Linked DNA regions of Arabidopsis thaliana. The protein of the gene in region 3 interacts with the protein of the main gene of each other region in a pairwise test. Each region holds a gene or a part of one and is shown on either strand. Other genes may lie near its edges. The genes, in order: NF-YC7, NF-YC10 and NF-YB6.

Region 1 (4,758 bases), 1.2 Mb from region 3:
TAGTAGACTTGTAAGCGCTTTTCTGAGAATTTGATTGTCTTTTGGAGTTAGTCTCTTACATAATATCTTGTTCTAAAATCCTCCGCCTAACACCGGTTACTCTCCGTTTAATCGCTAAGTCCATCATATCCGGTTACTCTCCGCTTAATCGTTAAGTCCATTCTATCCATGATTAATGACTAATCCCTTAAAAAATCACTCATTCGATTACTCTCCTTCTAATCCGATTACAAATTAATTATTTTTTTAAAGTAATATTAAGGGCCCCATTTCATGTAAAAGTTTTTTTCTCCAAATATATTGGGCCATTTATTAGATATTTTCAGTCAAATTAATTTTTTTATAAAATATGGCCTTTTTAAAAAATAATTCAGAAAAAATCATGGAATCATGGGCTACTGCCCTTTTGCCCATCCTATTTGGGCCGAGCTTGTTATCATCAACCTCGACCCAATGGGTGAGTCGTAAGGTGTGAGGGTCAAGACTTTTTTTATTTTTGAAGTAAAATTGATATATAAAAAACCCATATTTTATAAAACAACTTATAATTAGCCCAAAATTATAGTTCAAAACCCCATTTTTTGTTTTAAAAATAATAAGCCTGATTTTGTTTTTTAAATAAAGCTTTTTATAGCAAAAACAAATTGGGTAACCTTACATCTCTAATTTTATTTGGGATGGGGCTGATTATCATCACAAGGACTATGCATAAATGTTTTCAATAACTCCATATCAATAAAAAATAATCTGGTTTGATTGCTTTTATCCAGCTAACTAAATTTCACACCAAATGTTGAACTCATCATTGTTTTTTCTAGATTTTGCATGATTCGTTTGTTCAAGTAATCAGGTTCGACTTTCGATTAAAGCCTAAAAATCTCATGAAACAAAGGTTTTAGGCAAAGAACTCTCTATATAAATATATAGGCGCATCATTTCATAAAAAGTTTATTTCCGAAAAGTTGATGGATATCCGCTTTAGGTGACCAGTTCGATCCTAATTTCCTAACTTTTGTAATTTCTTTTTAACAGGTGACGGCAAATTATGTTTGGACCGGCCCTAAAAGTAGTAATTATTTCCTTTAAAAATAATATCTAAGGTTAAGAGAAACATATTCTTTACATAAACAATATCTTTGGATGTTTAAATTTTAAGCTTGATATTTTAACGAACTTTGGCGCGAAAACCATCTATTCAAATATCTCTTTCCACCACTTGTGTTTTCATTGATTTGGAATTGTTATCTGCATTGAGATATCTTTGAATGATGAAACATGTTCCTTTGCTACCTTTAAATTAATGCTTCAGATTAGATCGGTCTCATGCACAAGACAAATTGACATACATATTTGCATCTTTGAAATGCTGACAATATTTGCAATCTCCTAAGAATGATAACACAAAGAAGCAGGCCAAGCATTGGATTTTAAGTACACAACTATAGCTTTTTCACTCGAAGCCAAAGTCACCTTATCTATGCGGAAACTCCACATACTTTCCATTGCGCATTAGAAAATTCTCAGTTTGGTATCTTCCCACTAATTACCACTCCAAGGCACCACTTATAGTTTTCTTCTTTGACTAATCAGATCTTGGGCACAAAACCATTGACGACATTCCTCATATGCTAGCTTTCACATACTTCCCTAAATTGGTTAGTATAAAATCCACCTTATCTAAAGCTATAGTTGACTAATAGCTTTCACCTTATCTAAATTTTATAAGTTTTAAAATTTATAAAATCCAAAAAGTATTGGTTAACAAAAATTTATAATGAATAGAAAGTGAGGTTTTGTATTTTGGGATTTCACATATATTAGTAAATATTGTATAACACAAAACAAAATATTAATAAAAAATAAATTTTATTTTTGAGAAAATAGTTGGGCTGATTTCGTAGCCCACTTAATCAGCCTTTAAATATGGAAACCCTAGCCTAGAAAGTGAACAAGAAAAACGTAAAGATCAAAATGGAAGAGAACAACGGCAACAACAACCACTACCTGCCGCAACCATCGTCTTCCCAACTGCCGCCGCCACCATTGTATTATCAATCAATGCCGTTGCCGTCATATTCACTGCCGCTGCCGTACTCACCGCAGATGCGGAATTATTGGATTGCGCAGATGGGAAACGCAACTGATGTTAAGCATCATGCGTTTCCACTAACCAGGATAAAGAAAATCATGAAGTCCAACCCGGAAGTGAACATGGTCACTGCAGAGGCTCCGGTCCTTATATCGAAGGCCTGTGAGATGCTCATTCTTGATCTCACAATGCGATCGTGGCTTCATACCGTGGAGGGCGGTCGCCAAACTCTCAAGAGATCCGATACGCTCACGAGATCCGATATCTCCGCCGCAACGACTCGTAGTTTCAAATTTACCTTCCTTGGCGACGTTGTCCCAAGAGACCCTTCCGTCGTTACCGATGATCCCGTGCTACATCCGGACGGTGAAGTACTTCCTCCGGGAACGGTGATAGGATATCCGGTGTTTGATTGTAATGGTGTGTACGCGTCACCGCCACAGATGCAGGAGTGGCCGGCGGTGCCTGGTGACGGAGAGGAGGCAGCTGGGGAAATTGGAGGAAGCAGCGGCGGTAATTGAAAAGTGTTGATTGGGTTTTAGGGTTGTAATGCTTTTGTGAGAATTTGTATCTCTATCGAGTCATGTTTGTTGTTGTTGTTGTTATTATGTTTTGCTTTCGTTAATGTCATGTGTTCTGTTGTTGTTGGTGTTATGTGTAGTCTTCCATGTGAAATATCACATAGAAGACTAAACATAACATCAACAACACCAAAACACATGGCATTAACGAAAGCAAATGGAAGACAATGGAATTTTAGTTAACTCTTATTTTCTTCTTTGCTTTAGATTAGTTTATGCCAAAGAATCACCAAAATATTCGCAGTTCATTACGAAAAAACACAATGAACTAGGCATAAATGTCAATTACCATAAAAAACATATACTACTAGCTCCATCTTCTAGTTATCCTTTATGAAAGTAGAAAATCCCCATGGCTCATGGTATTAATTTTGTATACGTTGTGAATATGTAGGCATCATGATCTTAGGATCTAGTAAGAGATCTTTTTGAATCCCGAATCTATGTTCGTAAATTTTCCAGCATTTTGATTTTAAAATGGATTTTCGCGTGAAAGTTATACTCCGGTTTTATTATGCAACGAAATTTTACTTGCAAACCGCTGATATATTATTCCAGTTTTCTCAATTTGGCATGAGTTGTTTCTCACATAGTATATTTCGTTTTCAAGATATGAACATCTAATGTGTAAAAGATCTATTGAAAATATAGTTGTGGAACACCTTGAAAATTGTTGTGGATAACAAGTGTTCGTAAAACAAACATTGTTCGTAACGACCAATTAGGAGCCACATAATAAAACCAAATATTTTCACTTCGTAATCATTAGATAAAAAAAAATCTTTGAATATTTACTTTTTTTTTAAGCAATAAATCTTTCTTCTTATGAAAAGATAGAAAACAATCTAGACAATTTAATTTTTAGAAGCAATAAATCCTTCTGTTTATGAAAAGGGTCCTCACTCTTATATATATACTTGGTTTCATTTTCTTTTTACTTTAAATGGCTACATTAAAGAGTAGCCAGAAAACATAAATAAAAACTCCAAAACACTACTTTCTCGGTTTTATATTATAAGTTGTTTTAGCCAAATTATTTTGATTCTTAACATAAGATGTTTTAGACAAATAATTCAAATTTCTATGCAAGCGTAGAATTTATATACTTTTATGACTATATATATATTATGCAGTAACGAATTTCATTGGCCAAACTCACTTTAATTAACTAAATATTAAATTATGTTTTTAATTTAGAAAAAATATATAAAAAGATAAATTAATTATTTAAACTTTGTGTTTAAACATCATATTTTTTTAAACAATGGGAGTACCATAGTTACCGTTAATTTAGAGAGAAAAAGTTCTTATTTAAAACTTCAAATGTATTCGTTTTATGAGTTTCTAAAAAAACCAACTAAAGATTTTGAGTATGGAGGAAACAACGGCAAAAACTGAAGTGTGGTTTGTAATTTAAGATTTCTAACCGCTTTCGTGAGAATTTGAATTACTTTTCAAGTTATGTTTTTGAATTTAAAGTGTGTAATGTTAGGACCTAAAGACTTGAATTTCCAAATATATTCAAAAAAAAAAATGTTATGATTTTTATTGTGAAAATGGAGAGTGAAGGCAAGTTGTTAGGCATAAAATATGTAGAACAAACAATATGTATTCCTTAAAAAAGGATAAACACTTTGAAGATTTGAAGAAACGAATTTTGGATGCTTCTAGATTTTCAGAATGGATAAAATTCAAAAGAATATGCAACACTCAATTCATATCTCAAAGAGAATGAGGAAAAACTGAGGTATTCTCTATGTTAAGATAAGGAGGCAATAAAGGAGGAAGAGACATAAAATCCTAGAAAAACAATATTGTTCAACAATTGAAATTTTTTCAAACAATCATTCAAGACCTACAGATACAGTATAAATTTATTCTATTGTCAGAAACATGACCATCTAGTAGTATTAGTAGATGAATATGCATATGGCGATCATTGCTTTGATGATCTGAATAAAATCACACTCTTTCTGTTAGTTTCAAATGCTGGAGACTTAAGTTTCTTTACAAATAGATAAATTATCTACTACATCGTTGAATAGAAGTTGAGGAGTAACCAAAACATTTAGTTGAGGAAGTTGTAAC
Region 2 (11,952 bases), on a different chromosome or scaffold from region 3:
CACACAAGTTCCTTCCGCGAGTGCTGCCAAAAGCCAAGAGTTATAAGAGTCATGACTAATCGACTAAAATTGGAATTGGAATTTTTTAAAATGTTTGATACCTCGGATTCTTTGCACTGTGTAATCTGCTGGAATACTGCTGCGCGGAAGTAGGCCCTTAACCCACTCTCCTTTCATTAAGCCCTGAAGCCTCCGATGTTCACTTATAGCATCAACACATTCCTGCATGACAGGGATTAGTGCCGCTTGCTGTTGCTGTTGTTGTTGCTGTTGCTGAAACTGCTGGTTCTCTGTACGCAGCTTTTCTGCAGATGCCAGAAGAAAGAATTAGCAACTATATGAAGACCCAAACATTTAGCAACAACACATAAATGACATGATATCATTATTTCTCTCAGATATCCAATCAATTACAACATTCTTAAATTCAGTAATTTATTGAGAAACATGAAGTCTTAAGTTGATAACAATATTTTCAAAACAACAGAACAGCACTTCAACTTAACAATGACAACCATTCGGACCACATCACAGTAGAAGCTGTAGGAATGTTACTTACGCATGGAAGCATCAATAGCCTGTACAAGATTAGCGCGTAATTGGTGAAGAAGAGCATCTTCATCGAGAGAGTAAGATGGCTGCCACCCCTTCGTTCGATCAACCGGTAAGGCAGTTGTAGCGGTTCCATTTGTTGGCAAATCACTTCCAACTTGACTAACTGTGACATTAACACCAAGCTTTGATGCTGTTTGCATTACCTACACAAATGACAAAGTTTAAAATCTCTTTCACAGCAACATAGGGAAACAAGAAATTCTTCTTGTGCCTCTGATTCGGATGTGGTTATCAACTCATTCATCAGCAGACAAGTATAGGAAGGCCAGTGTTTATTTTAAAAGGACTCCAGAAACAAACCTGAATATGACTGGTTTCAACCTTGTTAAGCAGAGGTTTGAGCAACACTGAGGAACACCATTGCCTTAGTCGGTCACGCCAGTCTTCTATCTGAGGATAGACACCTAGATGAATAAAACCTTCGATAGCCCTTTCTAAGGACATTGGGTTGGGGAAATCACCCTCTCCTTTCTTTGGGGGAGTCGTAAATTTCTGAGCGCCAGGAGACATCCTGACAGGTCTTAGTGGTGTACTCCTAGTAGCCCCAGATGCACCAGTTGAACCACCAACTGTACTCGGGCTAGCCATGGCAAAACTCCCAACTGTTGGTGGAGGCGTACGCATCTTCCCAGCCGACTCAGTGATTTTCTCATCTATTTCTGCCAAAAGCTGCTCAAGCTGCTCCTCGGTAGTTATGTCTTTTGCAGAACTTCGTCTACCAGACCAAGGACTAGAGACAGCCTTATCCTGACCCGACGAAAGACGGTTAGAAGAAACTGGTGAGCTAGAAGGGACAAGATACATAGACGGTGAACCCATTTGTTTTGAGGGAGTGCTAAATGAACTAATCTGGCTTCCATTACGGGAATTCAGCTTATCACCACCACCAGAAGACTTATGAGCTGAACCAGTAAGAGTTTGATGGTGTATTGGGACAAGCGGCTCCAATGACTGTGCAGGTTTCAATGCAGGACGACTCTTTGGAAATTCTGATACACTCTGGTCAGCTTTTTTCTTTATCCCAAGAAGTTCAAGCTGACGATTTGATAAAGAAAACTGATCTTTGGTTTCTTTAGAGAAAGATTTAGTTTCTCCTCGAGCAGCAAACTTTGCTCTGTGCAAAGATATGCCTTTGGACAAAGCCATCATTGCTCCAATACAAAACAAAGTCACCAGCCCCTGCCACGCTTTTACAGTGACATCTGAACCACAAGGTAAGATTTTAGATATATTACGAAACTAATAAAACACAAAAGGTTAAAAAGGAAATCTCTCAAGAAAAAAATGCAACTCACAAGCTGCCTCTTGGGATATTTTCCCGAATGTTAAAGCATTGGTCAACCATTTCTCCCTGTAACATAAGATAAACAAGCAAATGATTATCATGGTAGATCTTTCCCAGATTGAGCAATCCTAACTCACAGAGAAAGCAAATGATAAAGAATAAGAACTAAGGACTCAAGTCGAGATTTTCTAGCTAACCAGAAATATTCCAAAACCTAGACAAATACTCCAACAATGCAACTAAGAGGGAATGTACGAAGCTCAAGCTAATGCTGGCAAGTACCCGGCCATGAAGGAGATGAGAGAGAAAGCGGAAGCGATAGAGAGCAAGAATATGAATAGAAGAACGGATTTCGAAGGACGGATGCTGTTGGCGGTGGAAGCGGCGGCGAGAGCAGGGTTCCGGTACACAGAGAACTTGGAGGGCTTCGGAGAAGGGGACGAACCCTGAGTAGTGTTGTTAATCTTCCTCCTCACATCAGAATCCATGGCAGGAAACGATTTCTCGAGCAAACCAAAGAGAAGGAAAAGGGTTTTAGGGATCGTCGGATTTTCCCGGCTGAGAGCTGCTCTCAGTCGCTGCTTCTGGTGGACCCACCCTAATTTTTATTCATACCCATCATATTATTTGAATTTTTAGTTTTACCCCCAAACTCTTATTTTGGATTATTTATTTTATAACAGAATTATAAAATGTGTAAAAAGAAAAGAAAATGTGGAAAGTTTTTTCAAATTGGTCTAGAAGAATGATTTTAAAAACCTTTTTTTGATAATTGGCTTGTTTTACTAATATTATAATTTGATTAGTAAGAATAATTATGGTAAAAATATTTTCTAAATATTTTCTGACCAATTGTCCTATAATTATAACTAGATTTTAACTCAGCGGTACACCGCGGAAACAATTTATTTTTTAATGTTAGTATATATAAAAGTTTACAAATTGTATCTAACTATAAAATATTTTTATTTTATAGTTTACAATTATTATTAAGTAACGTCCTGTCAAACCCGTCCAGTAAAAAAAACCATTTATTTTATTAATGTTGATCTTATTTATGATATGTTTATGAATCATTGTCTAAATATTTTGTAATTTTGTCTCTGTTTAGTTAATGTGGAGAGATTTTGGAAAGATTGTTAAATGTCAAATATTTAATTCGAAGATTTTCTTTCTAATTATCAAATACAAACATCAAAATCCAGTGGCAGCCATTGTAAATAAGTCCAACTACAAAATTTATTTCACAAAATGGCTGCAAAAATGTATATATAGATACTAAAGAAAGATATTAGAATTCCGACAACTCTTACAAATTTTAACTTGAAACAAGAAAAAAAATGTATACATTCTAGAAATCAAATATGTGCAATCTCAGTAGTGGTTAATAAGAAAGGTGAAGATCGGGCGGATGGAACCTATGAAGTATAAACCAGGACAGGGACACAAATTTGAATCCAAATGGTTCAGTTCGATTCCAACCGGATTTATTTCAGCCTGCATCTGTCATGCCTCTTTCCCATTCCTCCAACGCGGCCTCTGCTTTAAGTTTCTCGGGAACACTATCTGCATTCAAGATATTACAGGTATTAAAATGCTGTTCGTAAACCACATGGAACTCATAAAACGAATACTTCAGAGGTTATTAAGTACCTGCAAGGAACTCGTATCTCTGGTCGTTACTCACTACGGATGCTGCCAACGAGTAGAAATGACAGTGTCATCAATTATGTTAGGAGTGCAACAAATCTTGCAAGTGATACGAACGGATTAACTCATTATCTAAACTCTTCCTAAGACTAACTACTGGCCCTTGTGCAGAAGCCAGAAATCCTAAGTTCAGCAATTGGTGCAGCAGCATGAGATTTTCGACATGGGATTCAGTATTGAGGTAACCAGATATTGGCAAATAGGGACGAGATTAGAGCTTACAGAGGTGTTTGTAGTGGATGAATTTCTTTTTGTCCTTGACGGAACTATCATAAGCTTCTTCAGAAAACCGCTCAATGAACATCTCCTTCAATCACAAAAACCAGTTAATGTACTGTAAACGCAATGAACATCAATTTCGATGAACACAAGATGAAATCAAAAGAAAGAAAAAACAATGCCAAGTTCCAATACAGGAAAATTAAACACTCATCACTTAAGCTTTGAAAATATGAACCTAAATCATATATAAGGACTTTCTCATGTGTTAGGTGTCTACAAGTTCTGGATGTAAAAGCTAAACCTATGACAATCAAGCACAGTAACTACGGTTTCATCAAACACACATGGAGATGAAGCAATAACGTTAATTCCCGGCTTAATTAACAGAAACAATCTCATTACTGTAGCAATTTGCGAGATTATAACGCCCAATTAACACTGACTAGCAATTGATACTCCCAAATTCATCAAAAACCATGTGAAATTAAGTTCCTCAAGCTAAATTTATATGTCTAATTAGTACTATACCGTGGCTTTGTTGACAAGAAATACAGCATCCTGCATAATCTGAGGAGCAGAATTATCGCTTCTCATGATCCGCCGAATCCGATTCATCGGAAACTTGATCTTAGCATCTTCCGCGCCTCCATCGTCCTCTTCTCGATTTTTACTCGTCTTCGTCGGAATTCCTACACTCTTTCCGTTACCCCTCTTGCTCACGACGCCGTTACTTTTCTTCGCCTCATCGCCTCTTATTGCTTCTTCCACAGAGTCACTGCTCGATGATTCTGAGATCTCGTAAATCTCCGGCTTCTTCTTCACAATGTTAACCTTGTTCGACGTCTTCTTCGTTCTGGAACCGGAGCTGCGTTTACTCCGACCACTCGCTTTATTGACGACGACATCGCTCCTCGCCTTCTTCTCCTTGGGTTTCTTTGACGACACCATTAATTTTTTAGAACTACAGTATGTTTCACCCTTTCGCCTGAATAAATCGATGGATATTTACATGGGCTTATTTGTTTGAGCCTTTTAGGCCCATTTATCATATGATCAATTTAAGGAATGGACATGGTGATGTTGAGGAATGAAGATGCATGACGACTACTTCAAAATAAATTATTGGACATGCTTTCACTGTTTCGCATACACCTCGTAAAACATTGTATAGTTTATGGAGAAATAAATAAATTAGGGTAAATGTACTTGGGATAAGATAATGTTTTTATACAAGCATCCAAAATACATTATCTTGTTCCCGACATAATGTAAAGAAATTTTAGGGATTAGATAAGGAAGAATGGGTAATGTTGGAGTATGAGACAGAAGAGGTGTCCGCAAGCTGGAACCACCACGTGTTATCAACAACACGTGTGAGTCTCCATGAACTCTCTCTGCAATATTTAAACGTGGCCTAGCTCGTGTTCTTTCAATCTCCAATTATTACTCTATTAATAAGAGAAGACGAGTTTTGCTTTCGATACTGTCTTTCAACTATTCCGACACAACCAAAGCTTCTGGAAACGTTGTCGTTTGTTATCAATAATGGCTGTTGTAGAAGAACCGATACTTTCAAGATTGGATCGTATTGATTTCATGGTGAGGAAGTTAGAGGAGATGAAAGGAAGCTCGCCTAGAAGCTCGAGCCCATCGACTCCATCTAGTGGGACTCAGCCATCGTCAATGGATCTGTCGTCACCGAGGAGCATAGGGAAGGTACACTGCCGTTCGATGGAACAAGTCAGGGAGGAGACTGAGCGGAAAGGAACTTTGCTAGAGAGACTTAATAATGTAGAGGAGCAAGTGCTTAAGCTGTGTTCACAGTTTGAGGAAGAAGTTGAAGAAGAGAGGAAGAGAGAAGATAAGACGGATAAGGAAAAGAAGACCCCGAAGAAGAAGAAGGGATTGAGGAAGCTGGTTGATAAAGTTGTTGGATCTTCTTCTCCCACTAATATCCATTCCAAGAGCTGGCGTTGTTGAGTCATTGTAGTACTTTATTACATCATCATGTATACTTCAACGTACCACGTTTAAATGAAAGCTTCTCTTCTTTTTTCTTTGTTGAAGCGCTAGTGGAAAAAAATATCTTTAGGTCTCTCACTCTCTTGTTTGATCGTTTGTTTGTTGAGGTTTTTTGTTGTCCAGTATGCACTTTTTAAGTGAAAACAACAATGAATTTTCAGTGTACTTTCTATTTTTCAGAGTGCACTTTTCAAGTGAAACAATGAAAATTTGAAGGAAAAACAAGTACACACCTATAAATGATTAGAAAAACGAAGATGTGTGTAGTCATTTCCATAAACGTAACGATAAATTCTCAGTGGAGATGGTTAAAATAAACCGTAAATAGTTAAAATTTAACAAATGCCCAAGGTTTTGTGTAGAATAGAACAATTTAATTTTATATCTGTTCTCCGGGTTTTCTTGCTTCCCGATCAAATTGGGGTGTCAACATTTTGATCTAAAAATCAGTGACATCATATATGAGACTTTTCAACGTGTTTTTTTTTGTCTAAAAAAATTTCATCATTCTCTTGTCAAGTATTATGTAAGGTTAACAAATCTCCTCATAAATTTTTTAAAGATCGAAAATTTTCTAAAAATATGTAAACTTTTTTTCGTCTATGGTTTCTTAAGGTGTGAAGAAAAAGAGGCTGTTTACGGAGTTCACTCTGTTTGACACTTCAACCAACTTTTGTCTTTATATGTTTTTATTCTACACCATTAAATCAAACTTAAGACAATCATATGCATTTCTTTATCCACAAAATTGATTTGCTTATTGTACTTCATCATCCCGTTGTAAAATTTATAAGCACAATTTTCGCCAACTATTTATTCCGCAAATTGAACAGCTGATTTTATTTAAATTAATGTGATCTTTATCACAACAAATTCACAAGTCACCTGCTGCTGGTGACGCAAGTATCCCCCTCTCTGTTACAATATCTCACGATCATTCAATTGTATCCATAAAGATGATGTATGTTACTATCACCACCACCACCACCATCGTCATGAATCATGATCATCAGACAACGACTACGAAAAAATCATAAGTCTACTTTTATTAGACACACAAATCTGTGAAAATGGCGATTTAGTTAATAATAATTCGCTCAACTTTTTCTTAATCAATCAAAGGAATAAAATAACAAATAATAATAAGACCATTTTTTACTTTTCCCCTTCTTTATGCAAAATTCGGCCTCTTAATTTTCAAAATTTTCGACCTCCGATCTCCCATCTCCGCTTCCATCATCTTTAGGATCTCTCAATCTCTTTCTTCACTGATCGATTAGGGTTTTCGAGCTGAAATCGATACTCCTCCACCGCGAAGAAGCGATTACCTAGATTTTTCTTCTAGGTTTCTGGCGGATCTCGCCAAGTTCTCCTTATTCTCTTCAGCTACGGCGAAACTTTCTCTAGCTCCACTCCTCCCTCGCCACCATGTTTTGGAAGCTCACATCTCTCTCTGCATCATCTCCTGTGAGTTGAATTTTTAGATGTCGTGTTGTATGTTAGCGTTCATCTTGTCTACAGATACTGATATGCTTTAGAATTAGATTATTGGAGTTTCTATCCGTTGCTTTGCTTTTTCATATAATTTATGTCGAATTTTTGGATTTGCTAGATTTCAATTTTTTGAATTATTGTCTCTGAGTCGTGAATTGTTCATGTATTGATGTTCTTTCCTTTTGTTATGAGCGCAGGTGGAGATAATATTAGACAAAGAAAATTTCACGTTGGAAGAGCTTCTTGATGAGGAAGAGATTATTCAAGAATGCAAGGCTTTGAATAGCAGGCTCATTAACTTGTAAGCTTTTTTTAATCATTTATAATTGGCTTATATTCCTCATTATCTGTTTCATAGAACCAGATAAACCCTATGGTGTATGTTGAATCCTATGTCTCCTCTATCTGCGGAGTTTTAGTTAAGGAGTCCCATATTTCCTTCGTATTTTCTTGGATGACTTTATTGATTGGGTATTAATGTCTGCAGTCTAAGGGATAAAGCTCAAGTGGAGCAATTATTGCGGTACATTGTTGAAGAACCTCCACAGGATGCTGATAGTAAACGTGCTTTCAAGTAATATGCTTCCTTGATTCTAACTGGAATTACCTTGTCTTACCATCCTCTCCTTTTGCCTTTTATCCACTTTTCTTTTGAATGGTTCTGGATTTCTTTTCTCTCTAACTAATAATAGTTTCTTCTCTTTTAGGTTTCCATTCATCTCTTGTGAAATATTTACATGTGAAATTGATGTTATTCTAAAAACTTTGGTCGAGGATGAAGAGGTATTTTTCATTCATCCTACTACCTTTTCCTCAAATAGCAGTTCATACTTTTCACTTTTCTGTGCATCTGGATTATGTTTATTGTTATCCTAGATTCTCATTTGTTCGAATAATTTTATCTTGCAGCTGATGAACTTGCTTTTTTCCTTTCTGGAACCAAATCGTCCTCATAGTGCATTGCTGGCAGGCTATTTCAGCAAGGTATTCTCTCTTACGATACATAAGTTTACGTATTAGCCAAGTTCCTGTAATTTTCTTTTGTTTTGTTTGTACCGATACATATGACTTCATTTCAAGGCTCCGAGAAGTGATTCTTACTTCTCTCTGTTTGGTGTAGGTTGTCATTTGCCTTATGATCAGAAAAACTGCAGCGCTTATGAATTATGTAAAAGTAAGTAATAACACATAGTTAAACGGATGGTAAACTATATGAGAAATATATTATGGAAACTATTTGAACTGATTTCTAGGATTATCCAGGAGTACTGTAGAATACGTCTTATTTTCTGTTAACTCTTCTATTCAGAATTGATATTACCTTCCATTGTAATCTCGCAAGCCAGATGTCCGTCTATTTAGTAAATTGTTAGTAGATGAGATTGACATGACTCTATTCTTCAATTGCTGGCAATTATATTGATGTGACAGACAATTTAGTTGAATTTTTTTGTTATTTGTTTTGTATTCAGTTCTCAAAGTAACTTTTGATGATCACAGGGGCATCAAAATGTTTTCTGCCAGTTAGTTGATTTGATTGGGATAACATCCATCATGGAGGTAATTGGTTTGACTTAGACTCAGTGCAACTTGGTGTGGTTTCAGAGGTCTTTTTTGCTATGATATTTACGCGACTTTTTCTAGGTTTTGGTTCGCTTGGTTGGGGCTGATGACCAAGTCTATCCCAACTTTCTGGATGTGATGCAATGGTTGGCTGATAGCAATTTACTTGAAATGATCGTGGACAAACTTAAACCATCTGTAAGTGGTTAAGCTTTTCTATAATCATCCCAGAGACAAGAGGCTCTTGGTTTTCTCTTTGATACTTGTAGGTGGTGTAAATCTAGGATATCTGATGATATTACTAATTTCTTCTATCATCTTCATTCTGATATGTTTCTTGCATTACAACTTGAATCAGAGTCCTCCGGAGGTTCAGGCAAATGCAGCAGAAACATTATGTGCAATTTCTCGGAATGCACCGTCAGCTTTAGCTACGCAGCTCTCTAGCCCTGGGTTTGTAATCTTTCTTCCATGATGATTCCTAATGCTTTGATAGATGATACAAAAGTGTTTCACATGGCAGCACAACTTTTTCCCTGTTTTTGCAGCTACGTTGCAAAGATATTTGGTCATGCTCTTGAAGACTCGCATTCAAAATCCGGTCTAGTTCATTCACTTTCAGTATGCACCTCTCTTCTGGATCCGAGGAGATCTGCTGTTTCATCTTCTATGTTCAATTCTTACAGAGGTCAACATATGTTCGAGTCTCCTGTCCCAGTTTCCCCAGAAACTATTGGTGCCATGCTGCCCAAACTCAGTAAGTTGGATCCTATGATGCACCATCGTCACATGACCATCAAGATTATTAATTTTCTGGCTTTTTTATTTGTTGCATGCACATAATCTTATTGTGCACTTGGACAATAGTCAATCCTTTTCTTATGTGATATTACTTTCCATTTGCGAGGATACCTAGAGTATTTAGCATCTATCTGGACGTTCTGTTTGATCTTCCCTGCTCTCTATTTGGTCTCTTCTATTTTGGTTTATATTGATAAATGGAAACTGGTTTTACATAATTCTGGAATGCTTACGTAGCACATCTTGGATATGTATGATACTGTCTCATACAAGTTTTTCAAATCAGGTTTTATGCATTCAATGACCTTAAGTAATATTTTTTTTTTTTTCTGCAGATGACTTGCTTATGCTTCTCACTGTAGCATCTGATAGCACAGTATTGCCTACAACATATGGTGAACTGAGGCCTCCTCTCGGAAAGCATCGTCTAAAGGTCAGGTCCAAACATGGAGCATTTTATGGAAGACATTGTCGTTTTTAGGACACCAACAGTGCTCTTAATATATTGTATGTAAAGTCTCTATACTTAATTAGACTCACTTATCTTATTTTCTTTGTTTCAGATTGTGGAGTTCATTGCAGTTTTGTTGAAAACTAGAAGTGAAGCTGCACAAAAGGAATTAGTCAGTTCAGGAACAATCAAAAGGACCCTTGATCTGTTTTTCGAGTAGGTTTTGCTAAACTTAAAATTTTGTGATTACCGTGTGCTATTTCTACGAGATCTTAAAAAATCAAATACTCTCGACATATGAAGGTACCCGTACAATAATGCTCTGCATCATCAAGTGGAGAGTATAATACTTTCTTGTTTGGAAAACAAGAGCGATTTGATGGTTAACCATATTCTTCGAGACTGCGATCTGATTGGCAAATTCCTCTTGTCGGACAGGGACTCAAACCTCTTAGGTGATAGCCAGGTATTACCATTTGCTATGTTCACAAAGGTTTAACTGATCATCAGCATATGAAAGAGTCATCTTAATACAGCTCCAAGTTAGCTCCATTGACTCATTGCTCCAGCGTTCATTAGCTAAACAAATATTCTCTGGCATTTTCTTTTTCTTTTGTGCGAGGTAGCCCACTGTAGCTGCCTCCGGGAAAAAAAAACCTCGTGTCGGGTATGTCGGGCATATCACAAGAATATCAAATAAAATTGGTCAGTTGAGTAACAGCAATGGCCAGATAAAGGCATACCTTCAGGTTGGTATAAAAATTATACGTGTCGTGTTGTTTTTCTTCTGCCGCTTTTTTGTCACTTCACACGCATAAAGAATGTAAAACCATTAGTTGAGTCTTGTGATGAATGGTCCTAGCACTCTGTTGGAATCTACCATGTTTGCTGATTGTGCTTTGTTCATTCCCAAATCTTTAGGAAAACAGCGAATGGAATGAGTGGCAAGGTAGTGTTCTGCAGGACCGCAACACGGTTGAAAATGTCAACAGATGGGGATGTGGGTATGTTAACCTCTACTCACAAATCATCTAGTAACCATTTAATTGGTCAGTCTGCTACATAATGCTGATTATGGATGTAAAAATTCATGTGTGATCCTTGTTCCTCTTGGACAAAACCCTCAAAGATAATTCTGCATTGATGACTGATGGTATCATAGTCAAATAATATTTCTTCTCATGACGAGACCACTCAGTAAATGCACCATGATCTGGTCCCGGGTTTTGGATTTTATCTTCACTCTTTTTGGTTATAAAAATTCCTAAACTAATTGTTACGTGTAGGCGCCCAACTACCCTACAAGATAGGACAAGAGATAGCGATGAGGAAGACAGGGATTACGATGTTGCAGCTCTGGCCAATAACTTAAGCCAAGCATTTAGATACAAAATATATGGAAACGATGACAATGAAGAGGTATCTTCTCACACTAGTGCTTTTTCTTCAATTTATGAATGATTTCCTGGGTACTGAATTTATCGTCTTTGTATTTCTCTCAGGACCACAATGCCCTTGATAGAGACGATGATGTAAGTCTTGCAAAAATTCTTCTCTCCGCTTTTTTGAAAAATCAAGGAAACTATCAACATCTTTTATCACACTATGATACGTATGGGGGATGTACGCTAATAAGAGTTTGCTATTGAAAATTGGAATGTGTTTATATACTATACAGGATGTTTACTTCGACGATGAATCTGCTGAAGTAGTAATTTCATCCTTAAGACTTGGGGATGACCAAGGAAGGTGAGTTTATCTTTTTATTATCTGTTAATACTGGTGTCCT
Region 3 (11,793 bases):
GAGCAAACAGTCCTTAATATGGTCAAGGATGGCCATCCTAACTTCAACTACCCTATCGGTCAGCCTTTTCAGAAACTCCAAAAAAATTGAATCGAACTCTTCAGAGATGACACGTCCAGGCAAGGAAAACAACTCTCCAACCAATCCAACCACTTTCAAACGAGTTTCCAGTTTATCCGCCTGTATATGTTAATAGTATGCATTATGTATTATTCAATACCAATCTACTTGAAAAGATGGGCTCATACCACATGAAAAGTATTGAAACAACAAATGGATAAGAGTGATTATTCAAACAAAATACATAATAATAAAAGTATTGTGCATGGCAGAGTCATGATGACATTTGACGTGCAAGATAGTGGCAGAAGACCAAAAATAAAATTATACCAAAAGCTCTCCAGTGAGATATGGTGCAACTCCAGATAGGGCCTGAGGAGCACAGCGGTACAAATCATAGATAACCTCATGGTAGTCAATTTGACTGCTGGAAAATCGGCTATCTCCAGACATTGAAGAGATAAGGAACTGCTTTATGTCAGATTCAACTTTGGGCGCACAATGCTCTATGACTTTCATAGCAAGTCTTCTTGCAGCATCTCTAACGTCCTGCCATCATAAATGCAGAATATGAGCTGTCTGATATTCCATAAAACAACGAATCCTAAATTGGATTATAATCAGTGGCCAGAGCCAGCAACGTGAGTATGCTCACACTTCTATTGCGGCCCAATTTAGAGAGTAAAATTAGTAAAAGGTGCTCTTGCACATCTTCGCTTTCTTCTAAAAGAACAATCATTATATTTTGCATTGATGAGAAAACAATCTCCGGATGGTCATCTCTGCACATACAGAAATAAAACAATCTTTCAGTATGAAGCCCAAAAGAAAAGAAAAAAATCACAGAAACCATTCATATTTTGTATTACTAGCCAAGAACACCAACGAAAAGCACAACTGAAAATCAGAAAATTTGAAGATGTTTTGTAAATCAGCGGAACTTATAATCACTCAGAAAAGAAATCTAGGTTGAAAGTGAAACACACCTAGCAACATCAAGAAATGTAGTAAACACTTCTTTCACCAGATCATCACATTCAAGATCCAACATCACTACACATGACCTGTACTTTGCAACCGTTTCTAAAATGAGAACCCTCCTTCCAAATGATGGACCACTGACATCATTCAACCCAGCAAAAGCGCTCACAATTAGTTGAAAAATATCCTGAAACAAGATAGGAAACAGAAGAAATCAGTAATGGACATGTCTGTGATCACGGTGCCAGAGGAAAGTCAGGACAAACAACCTTCATAATATTATCACTGTAAGGCGCTTCAGGTGCTGTAATACGAGTTATCTCAGAAACGCAGCTTGCAACAAGAAGCTTGACATCCTTGTCTTGATGGTTGAGAATTTCAGGTTTAATAACTGCATCAAGAAAAGGCTGAATGGACTTGAGCACTGCAGGTGGTGGAGACTGCTCCAACTCAGAAAGACAAACAGCAGCTTCCTGCATGTAGCAACACACAAGTTAAGGAAAGTCTTTTTGATAAATCAGTCACAGTATTGCACGGAAAAGTGTTTAAGGAGAGAGATATCTTAGTAAACTAACCCGACCAATTCACCCCAATGAAACCAATCAAAAGCAAATCACATTTCCACAAAGGTGGTTGATAAAGAAACATCTTAGTCAATGTAGAAACTGAACATTGGGGTAACTACTGCATCAGTCAAATTGCTGGTGAAGATAGCGCAGTTCAATTCCATCATGACCAGGGACAGAAAAATACTAGGGCCAACCCTAAAAACTCGACATTCTAACAGCAGACATCATAAAAGTCGCAAATCTAAGCAATTATAGACACTGAATTGGTTCTCCTAGGAACAGTCCCGAGTTTTATGCATGACCTAATTTCGCAAGAACAATCTAGCGTAGACGAAAAAGATGGTACAAACTAACCCTAACGCAGCTCGAAAGAAGAAAACACTGGCTCAATTAATGAGCATTACCCAGAACGGAAGAGGATCTACAAAGCTGAAAACTTTATTCGGTTCCAATTTGGCAGAATTTAAACAGGGGACAAAGATGGAAAAAAGTTCCCTCCAAACGAAAAATCGAAACTTGGAGAAATTGTAGAAGAGACAATGAGAAGTAGAGATGGGGAATCACACCTTTAAGAGTTTGAGCAATGAATCTTTAGAAACAGGAGCTAGGTCAAGCTTCGATCCCAGCTCTTTCAACTGTTCCTCCGGCTTCTGAGCCATGGGGAGTGAAACAGAGAACTCTTAAACCGAAGCTGTTAGAGACGAGCCACAATAAACGAACAAGGAAACAAAAAGGGTATTTTCTTGAATAATCTGGTTCTCAGAGTCACTATGCGGAAGAAGAAGGAGAAGAAGAAGAAAGCCACATCTGATCTGAGCTCTCTCTAACACAACAAGAGCCCCGATTAGCTGACTTACGACGGCTTTGTGTCTCTCATCGCTTCCTCATTTTCTCTTATTTTATATTGATGGTCCCTCACTTTCTCTTCTCTTTACCCTTTTTCCCCATTCTTAAAGCCCATCGTTTAACAGGCCCCTTTTTAAACATCCAGGCCCATTAGTGTAAGAATACCGACGTCGTTTTGAGTGGAGTTTCAATTTTAGTTTTTTGACCCTTCTTCTTTGCTCTCTCGCTTTGCTTTCTCGCGGCAATGGCGGCGGCGACGGGAAATGACGACAACGGCTGCTTCGATAAACCAGAATCTGAACCGGCACCGGTTAACGTTTCGCCTCCCCTGTCGAAGAATGCTCAGAAGAAGCAGCTGAAGCAGCAAAGATACGAAGCGAAGAAAGCTGAGAAGAAGGCACAGGAGAAGGAGCATAAGAGAAAAGAAGGAGAGAGAAAGCTTAAGGAATGGGAAGAAACCCTAGCGAACGCGACGGAGGAAGAGAGGCTGAAGCTTATTGAGTCGAGGAAGAGTCTGCGGAAGGAGAGAATGGAGAAGAGATCGGAGGAGAAGGAGAAGAAGATAGAGAGGCTGAATCAAGCTAAAGAAATAGGTCAAAAGATCGTAGTAGATGTTGATTTTGCTCATCTCATGTCTGAGTCTGAGATCTCAAGCCTCGTTCAGCAGATTATGTATTGCTATGCGGTGAATGGGAGAAGCACTTCACCTTGTCATCTATGGCTTACAGGAGTCCAAGGGAAGATGAGTACTGAGCTTGACAAGCTTCCTGGTTTTGAGAAATGGTTCATTGAAAAGGAAAGTAGGTGTTACATTGAAGCCATGGCTGATCAGAAAGATAATTTGGTGTATCTTACGGCTGATTCTGAAACTGTTTTGGATGATCTTGACCCTAAGCATATCTACATTATCGGTGGCTTAGTGGATCGAAACCGGTTCAAAGGGATCACCATGACCAAGGCTCAAGAACAAGGCATTAAAACAGCTAAGCTTCCCATAGGAGAGTATATGAAAATGTCAAGTTCTCAGGTAACTAAATGGCCACTTCAATTCTTGTCTCATTGGGCACAACACAAAAAACCTCTACTTTATGTACTTTGTTAATGTAAGATTTGTGGTTTTTATTGATTTAGGTTCTCACTGTGAACCAAGTTTTGGAGATACTCGTCAAGTTTCTGGAGACTAGGGACTGGAAAACAGCCTTCTTCACTGTGATTCCTCAGAGGAAAAGAACCGGACTTGATCCTGTTGATTGTTCGAAATTGGAACATATATCTGAAGAGCATCAGGAGAAAGATACTGAGGCAAACGAGAGTGCAGACAAACATGATCTTCTGGAGAGGAAAAAGGTATGCGTTGAAGTTCCTTTGGAAAGTAGTAGCTAAATGAAATGAATGAAGATTGTGAGAGTTGTTTCTGTATCCGTTAAACACTCATTTCTGTAGCTGAGAATTGAAATCTGGAATGTTTAGTCTCTTTCTATTTTGAACCAAGACGCATTACGAATTCACCGTGAATTTTGTAATATCACATGCATGCGGTTTGCAAAACTAATGCTTTATTGACATACTTTACCACAAGACAGATCAGATGAAAAACACAATGTTCTTTCAACTAGATAGATAATAAACAAAGAAAAAGCAGCATTGTTTTCGCTTAAACTTGAATTCATAAGCTACAGCTTGCACCTACTAACAGTTATGACTCTGTCAGCTGTCTATGTTATTAGCCATTGTTCTCAGTACTTATGTTGTTGAGTCGGAAATACTTCAACTCTGGCGCCACTTGCTCCTGAAGATGAACCACTCATCTTAGAATTAGGTTCGTTACCACTGAAAACAAACCCGTTCTGATGACGATAATGGTACTGCGCCATGTGAATCCCTGGCACAGGCCCGTAGGCTCCATACTCGGTCATGGTCCCATTAGGCCTCTTGACCACCAAGCCGTTGGTCATACTAACGGACCCAGCACTGCAGCTAACCCCTCTTTCACCTTCCAACTCTCTGTAGCGGTGGAGGTACAACGTGAGGGGTTCGATGTAGTCATCAAAACCGAGCTTGCTCATTGCCCACAAGACGTCCTCAGCAGTGATGGTCTTGCGCTGTTCCCGCTGGCACCGCTCATTAGCCTCCCCTGTTATGAAGCTGATGTACTCCGAAACACACTCTTGGATCGTCTCCTTGGAGTCATCTGAGATCTTGGCGTGAGCAGGTAAGATCCTCCGCATGATCCGTATCACGTTGGCAATAGGCATGAACCTGTCTTGCTCCCTCACCGTGCACTCCTCCTCACCACCATTACTGGTTTTGTTAGGCTGGTTGAATTCTGGAGGACGCATACTGCCCTCTGCCATCAGAAAATTCGCTGCTAATCCTAACAAAAATAAGAAAAATGGAAGTTTTAGTGCATAATGGCTTCGATGACGTCTGCATGCGCGGTTTATAAGATTGAAAAGCTATTTCATTAACTGTTCGTCATGAAAAGAGTACAGACATGACAATGGAGGGATTGCAGAGAATGGTTTCGCATGCAACTGAAATGAAGAGAGCCTGTGAAAAGAGGGGGTATAGAGAATGGCACTACCTGGTGGAGAAGGAGTGGTGTTGTTCACGGACAGCTTGCGGTAGCCATGGAAGCCTCCACGTTCCATATCTTTCTTGTTCTAAATACACGACTTTTGTGTTTGTGAATATCCCTATAAATAATAATAACCAATGCCCGAAATTAAGAAGCATTTGAAGAAGAGAATGGAATGAGAGAGAAGAAAGAGTAATTGGAATAAAGCTAATAGTGTTGGCAAGTGTCAGCATTTGTAATTTCAGACCTCACAAGTTCAACAACGTGGCAGCCATAATCGATGTGACCGAGGATCCTTCTCCTCGTCTCCCTTAGCCGTTACAAAATCCCAATCACCCCAACGTATTTGTCTTTTTTATTCGAACCTTCTACAAATACAGAGCCGTAGAGTTTTAAATTATAAACTACACCAAAGATATAAAAATTAAACTCGAGGTAATCATCTACAAGTTCTCCCGTTTTGCGTGCCAAAAACACCTAAATTTAAAATCTTTCACTCATTTTTCCCTCTCTCCCGAGGAAATGGTCTTGTAAAAATTTCCAAGTTTCTCAAAGTATGAGCGAGTCTTGCTGTGCTCAGGCTGTTTCTGCCCACCTTCCGTCACTCTCCTATAGTACTTGTTCATGTTCTCCCACTTCTCCTTACACTTTTTCGCAGATCTTTCGTACCCTCTTTCTTTCATTCTTGCTGATATCTCATCCCAAATCGCTCCCTTGTTGATCCCCGTCTTCTCTTCCACATCGCTTCTCGAACTTATCAATGCCTGCACTTCCTCTTGCGGCCACCTTCTACCACTGCTGCCACTGCCGCTTGAGTACCTAAACTTTATCTCTCTTTCTCTCTGAGCGGATTCACATTTCTCGTCTTTACATTGTTCCGGAAGAATCTGCTGGAGTGGTTGCGGGAATTCACACTGTTTAGGGATCTCGATCTCGTCACCAGTAACACTTCTGATGAAAGAGATGAGAGACAAGTTGCGTGCCATCTCTTGCTTCCGTGCTTCTTCATTCTGTGTCATCCTCTCGGTTTCCTGTTGCCTCCAAGCTTCCTCACGGCGTATTCTCTCCACTTCCATCTTCTCCATCACATTAATCAACTGATTATGCATCTTCTCCTGCCGCTTCATCATACTCCCCACAAGCTTCTCCAAGAAATGCTCCAGCTTTACCCTTGTTTCCCGCTTTCTTTTACCCGTGACGGTCTTGCGAACGTCTGGAGATGAGTCACTATCGCTGCTATCAACAGAGGAGCTGCAAAATCAAAAATTGGAAAGTACTTATCAAAAACTCAAAGCTTCCAACATGGTTACACTATCTAAGAACTAATAATCCAAAAGTTCCGCAGAATATATAGACAAACACTGCTTAGAAGTGGTATAAACCAACACTGTAAAAGCTTGTAATGACGGCACACCAATCTGATTGATATCTGCAAAGTTTAATGCTTTAAGCTGAGAGTGTTCAGTGATGCACCAGTCAACCAATCTAGAATCAAATGATACCGCAAAGCTCAAATATATCAAGAGGAAGAGAATGTGTTTAGGAGGTCTCTACCAAACAAGCTTCTAATAAACGTGAAAAAAAATTAGACTCTTAATAATACAGAAAAAAAGTAACAACTTTTCACAGTAACAGATCCAAAGTTGAACAAAAAGCTCACATTTTTAATGGTGAGATTTATACCTGAGAGAGAGACCATCCCAAGAGATGCGATTTCGAGCTTGAAACTCCATTTGAAGAGGAGGAAGAGAATCATCCTCTTCCTTTGAAAACCCACGAGTCAATTGACCACTTTCCTCCACGTCAGCAATCTTCGATCCCAAAGGAGCTTCGAAGCAGCCAAAACCCATCTCCGGCAGCCTATCTAGGGTTCCGGCGAGAATATCAAGAGGATGTCGATCCTCCGACGACGACGGAAGCTTAACGCCACACCTTATAGGTTTCAATTTCTGAGGAGGCGAAGCCAAGTCTGCGAGCGTAGCCAAAGCGTCGTCGTTTCCGTTAGAACCCATTTGACGGGTACCGTACATCCACCCGCAACCACCGTCCGAACCATCGAATGGGTTAATATCTTCCTCAAAGTCGTCGCCGACTCGTTTCCGACAGTCGCCGGCGAGAAGTTCCATTTCGGGAAAAGGTAAAAAAAATAAAATGGGCGGCGTGAAATCCAGAAGAGACTGCCCAAAGTAAAAGCAATTCAAAGGGTAAAAAACTCTATATTTACCTTTATACCCTCAAAGGAGTAACATAACCTCCATTTTATCCTCACTTCACTTCAGTCGTTTTCTTACCCGTCGTTATATGACCCGACCCGAGCCCACCTGAGCTGAATATGTTCTGTAATTTGTATCTACACCAGTTTTGTGTAAAGGCAAAAAACACTTTAGCCCCGTGTGGCTCAGCGAAAGCCGCGGAGATACCGACATATTTTATATCATAATCCATAATCCATATTAAGATTGGGAATCTGAGAAAAATTAGAAGAAAATCATTGGTAATTTCTCTATCAAGCGTAGGTGTCACAACACAAACAATCCAGAGAAACTATTCCACGTACGTATTAACCTTTGACCTTAACCTTCTTAAACAGAAAATATTGAAGTTTTTATGTTCTTGTGATAGAAATATACAGTAACAGAATATTTTCTTTGGCCTTTATTGACATATTTTAGAAGAAAAATAGATTACTTCCTTGTTTTATTATTATTTCACTCATCATACGTTGTAGAAAGGGAACCGCAAAGTGAAAAAACAGGTTTTGTATGCTCAAATCCTTCAAACGAGTGATCAATCTATTTAGCAATTTAAAAACTTTCAGATTTATATAGAATTTGTTTTGTCTGTTACTTATTTAGGACAAATCTTTAGTGTAAATTGAGTTGAGAGTTTTGTTTTTTCTTCTCTCGTAATGATGACTTGCCGTTTGGCCAAAAGTTATGGTTTAATCAAATTGTTGTTGTGTAATAAGAATAATGGCCGTCGTCTTCGTTTTCCTCCGGCTGATGGGTTCTCTGCGTTTCACAGTTGCTCCACCACGAGGAACAGATCCATGTCTGCTTCTAGTTCCTCCACAAATCCCATGTCCCGTGAGGACGCAACAACACTGCTTCCGTCTGTTCAAGACAAGTACGGTGGCGTGATGACCGAGATGACTCATCCCATGGATCCTTCTCTCTTCTCCACACTTCTCCGATCCTCTCTATCTACCTGGACTCTTCAGGTTCTCTCTTCCTTCTTCCTCTTGTTAAATTTGATCTTATTGGATTCGATCAAAATGACAAATTTTGTTATCCGAATCAAGATACTGGTACCGATTTGTTGTTACATAGAAGAATCATTGTAAAAGTTTGGGTGTTAAAAGTGTTAGTGTCACTATTCCGCTTGAAAATTGTTGTATTCTAATGCGGGCCAGAAACTCTCTTTCACTTTGCTGCAAAAAAAATTAAATTCAACTTTTCCACTACAGTAATAGACGGTGAATAGGACTATGAACCGATCTACTGTGAAATGTTTACAAACGTTTTTATGTACGCAGGGCAAAAAGGGAGTGTGGATCAAGTTGCCAAAGCAGCTTATTGGTCTTGCTGAAACTGCTGTTAAGGTCTTGTTTTGTTACCTAATGCGCAATCAGATATCTTTAAACCCCCTTTTGCTTATTGTTTGGAGAGTCTTCATATCACTTACTGGTTGTGTATTATGTGTAGGAGGGATTCTGGTTTCACCACGCGGAGAAAGACTACTTGATGCTTGTCTATTGGATTCCCAAAGAAGACGATACGCTTCCTGCCAATGCATCTCACCGTGTTGGCATAGGTGCCTTTGTCATTAACCACAACAAAGAGGTTTGATTACTGATGAGATGAGATTTTTAGTGTGTCTTTTTGGAACATCTCCAAGAATGGATCACATCTCTTTTCTTTTCTGTATTTGAATCCAAAGGTGCTGGTGGTTCAAGAGAAGACAGGGAGATTTCAAGGTCAAGGTATCTGGAAGTTCCCCACCGGAGTTGTGAATGAGGTGCTGGTTCTTATTAAAGCTCATTACATGGTTAGGTTCAGCTCTCTGATTCGCCTTTTTGTGTTTGTGTTGAGTCAGGGTGAAGACATTCATGATGGCTCAGTCAGAGAGGTGAAAGAAGAGACCGGAGTAAGGCTTCTTCATGCCTCAACTTTTCACTGTCCTCTTTACAGTTTACATGAGACCAAGAGCTAATCCCACTCTTCTGCATCGTATGTTTTCAGGTGGATACAGAATTCGACCAAATATTGGCCTTCAGGTAGCAACTCCAACTGCATAATCTTCTATATTGCAACATAACTGATTCTCGTCTGTTTTAAAATTCTGGCAGACAAACACACAAAGCGTTCTTTGGAAAGTCAGATTTGTTCTTCGTGTGCATGTTAAAGCCCCTTTCTTTGGAGATCAACGCACAGGAGTCAGAGATTGAGGCAGCTCAGGTAACAGTTTTTGCTCCTCACTTCAACGACTCTCCAGTCTCATCCACTAAAACACTCATAAACCTCTTCTCTTTCTGAAAATGGGAATTTGGTGCAGTGGATGCCTTGGGAGGAATACATAAATCAACCATTTGTACAAAATTATGAGCTATTGAGGTATATGACAGACATTTGCTCTGCTAAAACCAACGGAGACTACGAAGGCTTCACTCCTCTCCGCGTCTCTGCACCTGATCAACAAGGCAACTTGTACTACAACACCCGCGACTTACATTCGCGCAATTGACCTTCTTTCTCAACAAACAGAGCTTTCCTCACAGATTCTAACGAAGCTGGTTTCTTTGCTGCCTCTCTATGTAAGCATTTTGACACTTGAATCACTACATAACTCTCACCAAAACATAAAAGCATCCCAAATGAAAACATTTGCATTCAATACAATGGCTTTAGTTACATACAAGATTCAATGAAGCAGATTCGTTAGTGAATCCTATTGTTCAACAAGCACACTTGATCTTCTTTACACAGCCTCAAAATCTAAACCCTTAATGCACATCTGATTTTACATCACCAACACCAATGTTCGTTCTATCACATGATAGATACCTTATATGGGTCGTAAAAATAGGCATGTGTATACATGTATTTATGTATCTATATACAGAGAGAGATCCACTTCACCAATCTTTGTTAAGTCCTTGTCCTACCGGAGGCAGCTCCACCTCCACTGTCGCTACCGCCACCTGTGGCTCCATACATATGGTTCTGCTGGTGAAGAAACTGATGATGTTGGTGATACTGCATCCCACCACCACCACCGTAGAACCCACCGCCATCTCCGACAGCATCTCTCTGATGCTCTCCGACCTCACCACCAGTCTGTGGCCTCCCTAGTCCAGTCCTCTCCCCTTCGATCTCCCTAAACCTCTGCAAGTAAACTTTCAATGGCTCAACATAATCCTCAAAACCTAGAGTAGTCATAGCCCAGAGCAAATCGTCTCCGTTGATCGTCTTCCTCTTCTCCTTCTGACACTTATCAGATGCTTCTCCGGTGACGAAGCTGATGAACTCGGAGACACACTCCTGCATCGTCTCTTTGGCATCTTTAGAGATCTTGGCGTTGGCGGGCAAGGCCTTCTTCATGATCCGGCTGACGTTAGCGATCGGCAAGAACCTGTCTTGCTCTCTTGGAGACAAGGAGGACTGTCCGTTCTGGTTGTTCCCGTTTTGCCCTCCACCGGAATCCCTGTCGGAATCCCCCATTTCTGAAAATTACAAGGAATAAAAAAATAAACTTTACTCTTTTTTCAAATCATTTCCATCAATGATTCGAAATCGAATTCAATTGGTGGTTGACTTGAGTGGGAAGACTGAAGCGAGAAAATTTAGGGTTTTAGAAAGAGTAAAAAGAGCAGGTGTGAATTGTTAAGTGTCGGCTGGTATTGTACACAGTGGTGAAGGAGTCGCCGGAGCTTATATAAAGAGAGGACGCACGACTTCTGCTCACTTGACACGTGATCTTATATGAACCGTCCGTTTACTGATAAGATTCTGACAACTGGATACGTGCTCGACCGTCGGATTGGAATTGATCTTGTTTGAGAGATAGACAGCCCTTTAAGGCTTTGCCACGTGTTGTGGACAGTTAGTGGACCCGGCACACTTTTGTCACGAGCCGACGCGCATAAGAGGAGCGTGGTAAACACACAGAAGAGAGAAAGATAGCGCGTGGAAAACACGGAGAAGATAGGTGGGCGTTAGGGAGACAGAGGGTAACTGCCACTCAACGACCCTTCGGTCAATTTTTCACTTCTTTTTTTTTTTGTGTTACGAGCGAATTGGGTTGGATCATGAGGGTGTGGTCTGTGGTGGGGTTCATTGCCATCAAAACTGCATCGACCAATCAGATCAGACAGCTGTTTGGAAACAAAAAGCGTCCCAGTTTTGTCCACTTTTGACGGTCTCGATCTTCTCCTGTGGGTCCAACCATTGTCGCTTTTCTAAGCGTGTGATTAGTTAACATTAACAATAATCACCAGCTTCCAGCTGTATTAAGCTCTTAATGACATAGCTAATACTTGTCCCACCTGGAGAATCCTAATGGGCCGTTAAGATAATCAAACTGAATGGCCCATTAAAGGTGATGGACCTATTATCAATATCTAGGCTTCTTTTAAGCCCATACTTTTTTCAATGTAATGAGGACTTGAGAAACTGTGGTTTGGTCAAAACCCTGCTGACTCCCACCATCAACTAGATATTCTGAGCACGTAGACACGACCAAACCCACGATGTTGAAGCC

Evidence for each region.
Region 1: the proteins of NF-YB6 (region 3) and NF-YC7 interact in binary tests that used the Arabidopsis thaliana proteins (3 or more experiments, as listed by UniProt).
Region 2: the proteins of NF-YB6 (region 3) and NF-YC10 interact in binary tests that used the Arabidopsis thaliana proteins (3 or more experiments, as listed by UniProt).

What each region holds. Positions count from the first base shown.
Region 1 is NC_003076.8:20,552,972-20,557,729, reverse strand, and holds NF-YC7 (nuclear factor Y, subunit C7), read left to right. Parts: upstream 1-1,971; coding exon 1,972-2,610; downstream 2,611-4,758. UniProt on the Arabidopsis thaliana protein: Stimulates the transcription of various genes by recognizing and binding to a CCAAT motif in promoters.
Region 2 is NC_003070.9:2,470,131-2,482,082, forward strand, and holds NF-YC10 (nuclear factor Y, subunit C10), read right to left. Parts: upstream 4,999-11,952; 5' UTR 4,781-4,998; coding exon 4,361-4,780; intron 3,918-4,360; coding exon 3,833-3,917; coding exon of another isoform or gene 3,822-3,832; exon of another isoform or gene 3,596-3,821; coding exon 3,554-3,595; intron 3,467-3,553; coding exon 3,393-3,466; 3' UTR 3,035-3,392; downstream 1-3,034. Other genes in the region: AT1G07970 (cytochrome B561, amino-terminal protein), read right to left, coding at 1-23, 102-305, 560-758, 916-1,817, 1,911-1,966, 2,183-2,388; AT1G07985 (uncharacterized protein), read left to right, coding at 5,378-5,812; AT1G07990 (SIT4 phosphatase-associated family protein), read left to right, coding at 7,283-7,321, 7,546-7,649, 7,836-7,922, 8,056-8,131, 8,258-8,332, 8,469-8,522, 8,849-8,908, 8,993-9,109 and 10 more.
Region 3 is NC_003076.8:19,308,375-19,320,167, reverse strand, and holds NF-YB6 (nuclear factor Y, subunit B6), read right to left. Parts: upstream 5,391-11,793; 5' UTR 5,108-5,390; coding exon 5,041-5,107; exon of another isoform or gene 4,831-5,040; coding exon 4,193-4,830; 3' UTR 3,999-4,192; downstream 1-3,998. Other genes in the region: AT5G47690 (binding protein), read right to left, coding at 1-180, 391-609, 716-842, 1,047-1,228, 1,311-1,514, 2,177-2,269; TRM10 (tRNA (guanine(9)-N1)-methyltransferase-like protein), read left to right, coding at 2,701-3,483, 3,588-3,839; AT5G47660 (Homeodomain-like superfamily protein), read right to left, coding at 5,532-6,285, 6,718-7,160; NUDT2 (nudix hydrolase homolog 2), read left to right, coding at 7,943-8,254, 8,570-8,635, 8,739-8,876, 8,974-9,051, 9,130-9,180, 9,276-9,310, 9,383-9,491, 9,589-9,777; NF-YB2 (nuclear factor Y, subunit B2), read right to left, coding at 10,182-10,754. UniProt on the Arabidopsis thaliana protein: Component of the NF-Y/HAP transcription factor complex. The NF-Y complex stimulates the transcription of various genes by recognizing and binding to a CCAAT motif in promoters. Plays a role in the regulation of the embryogenesis.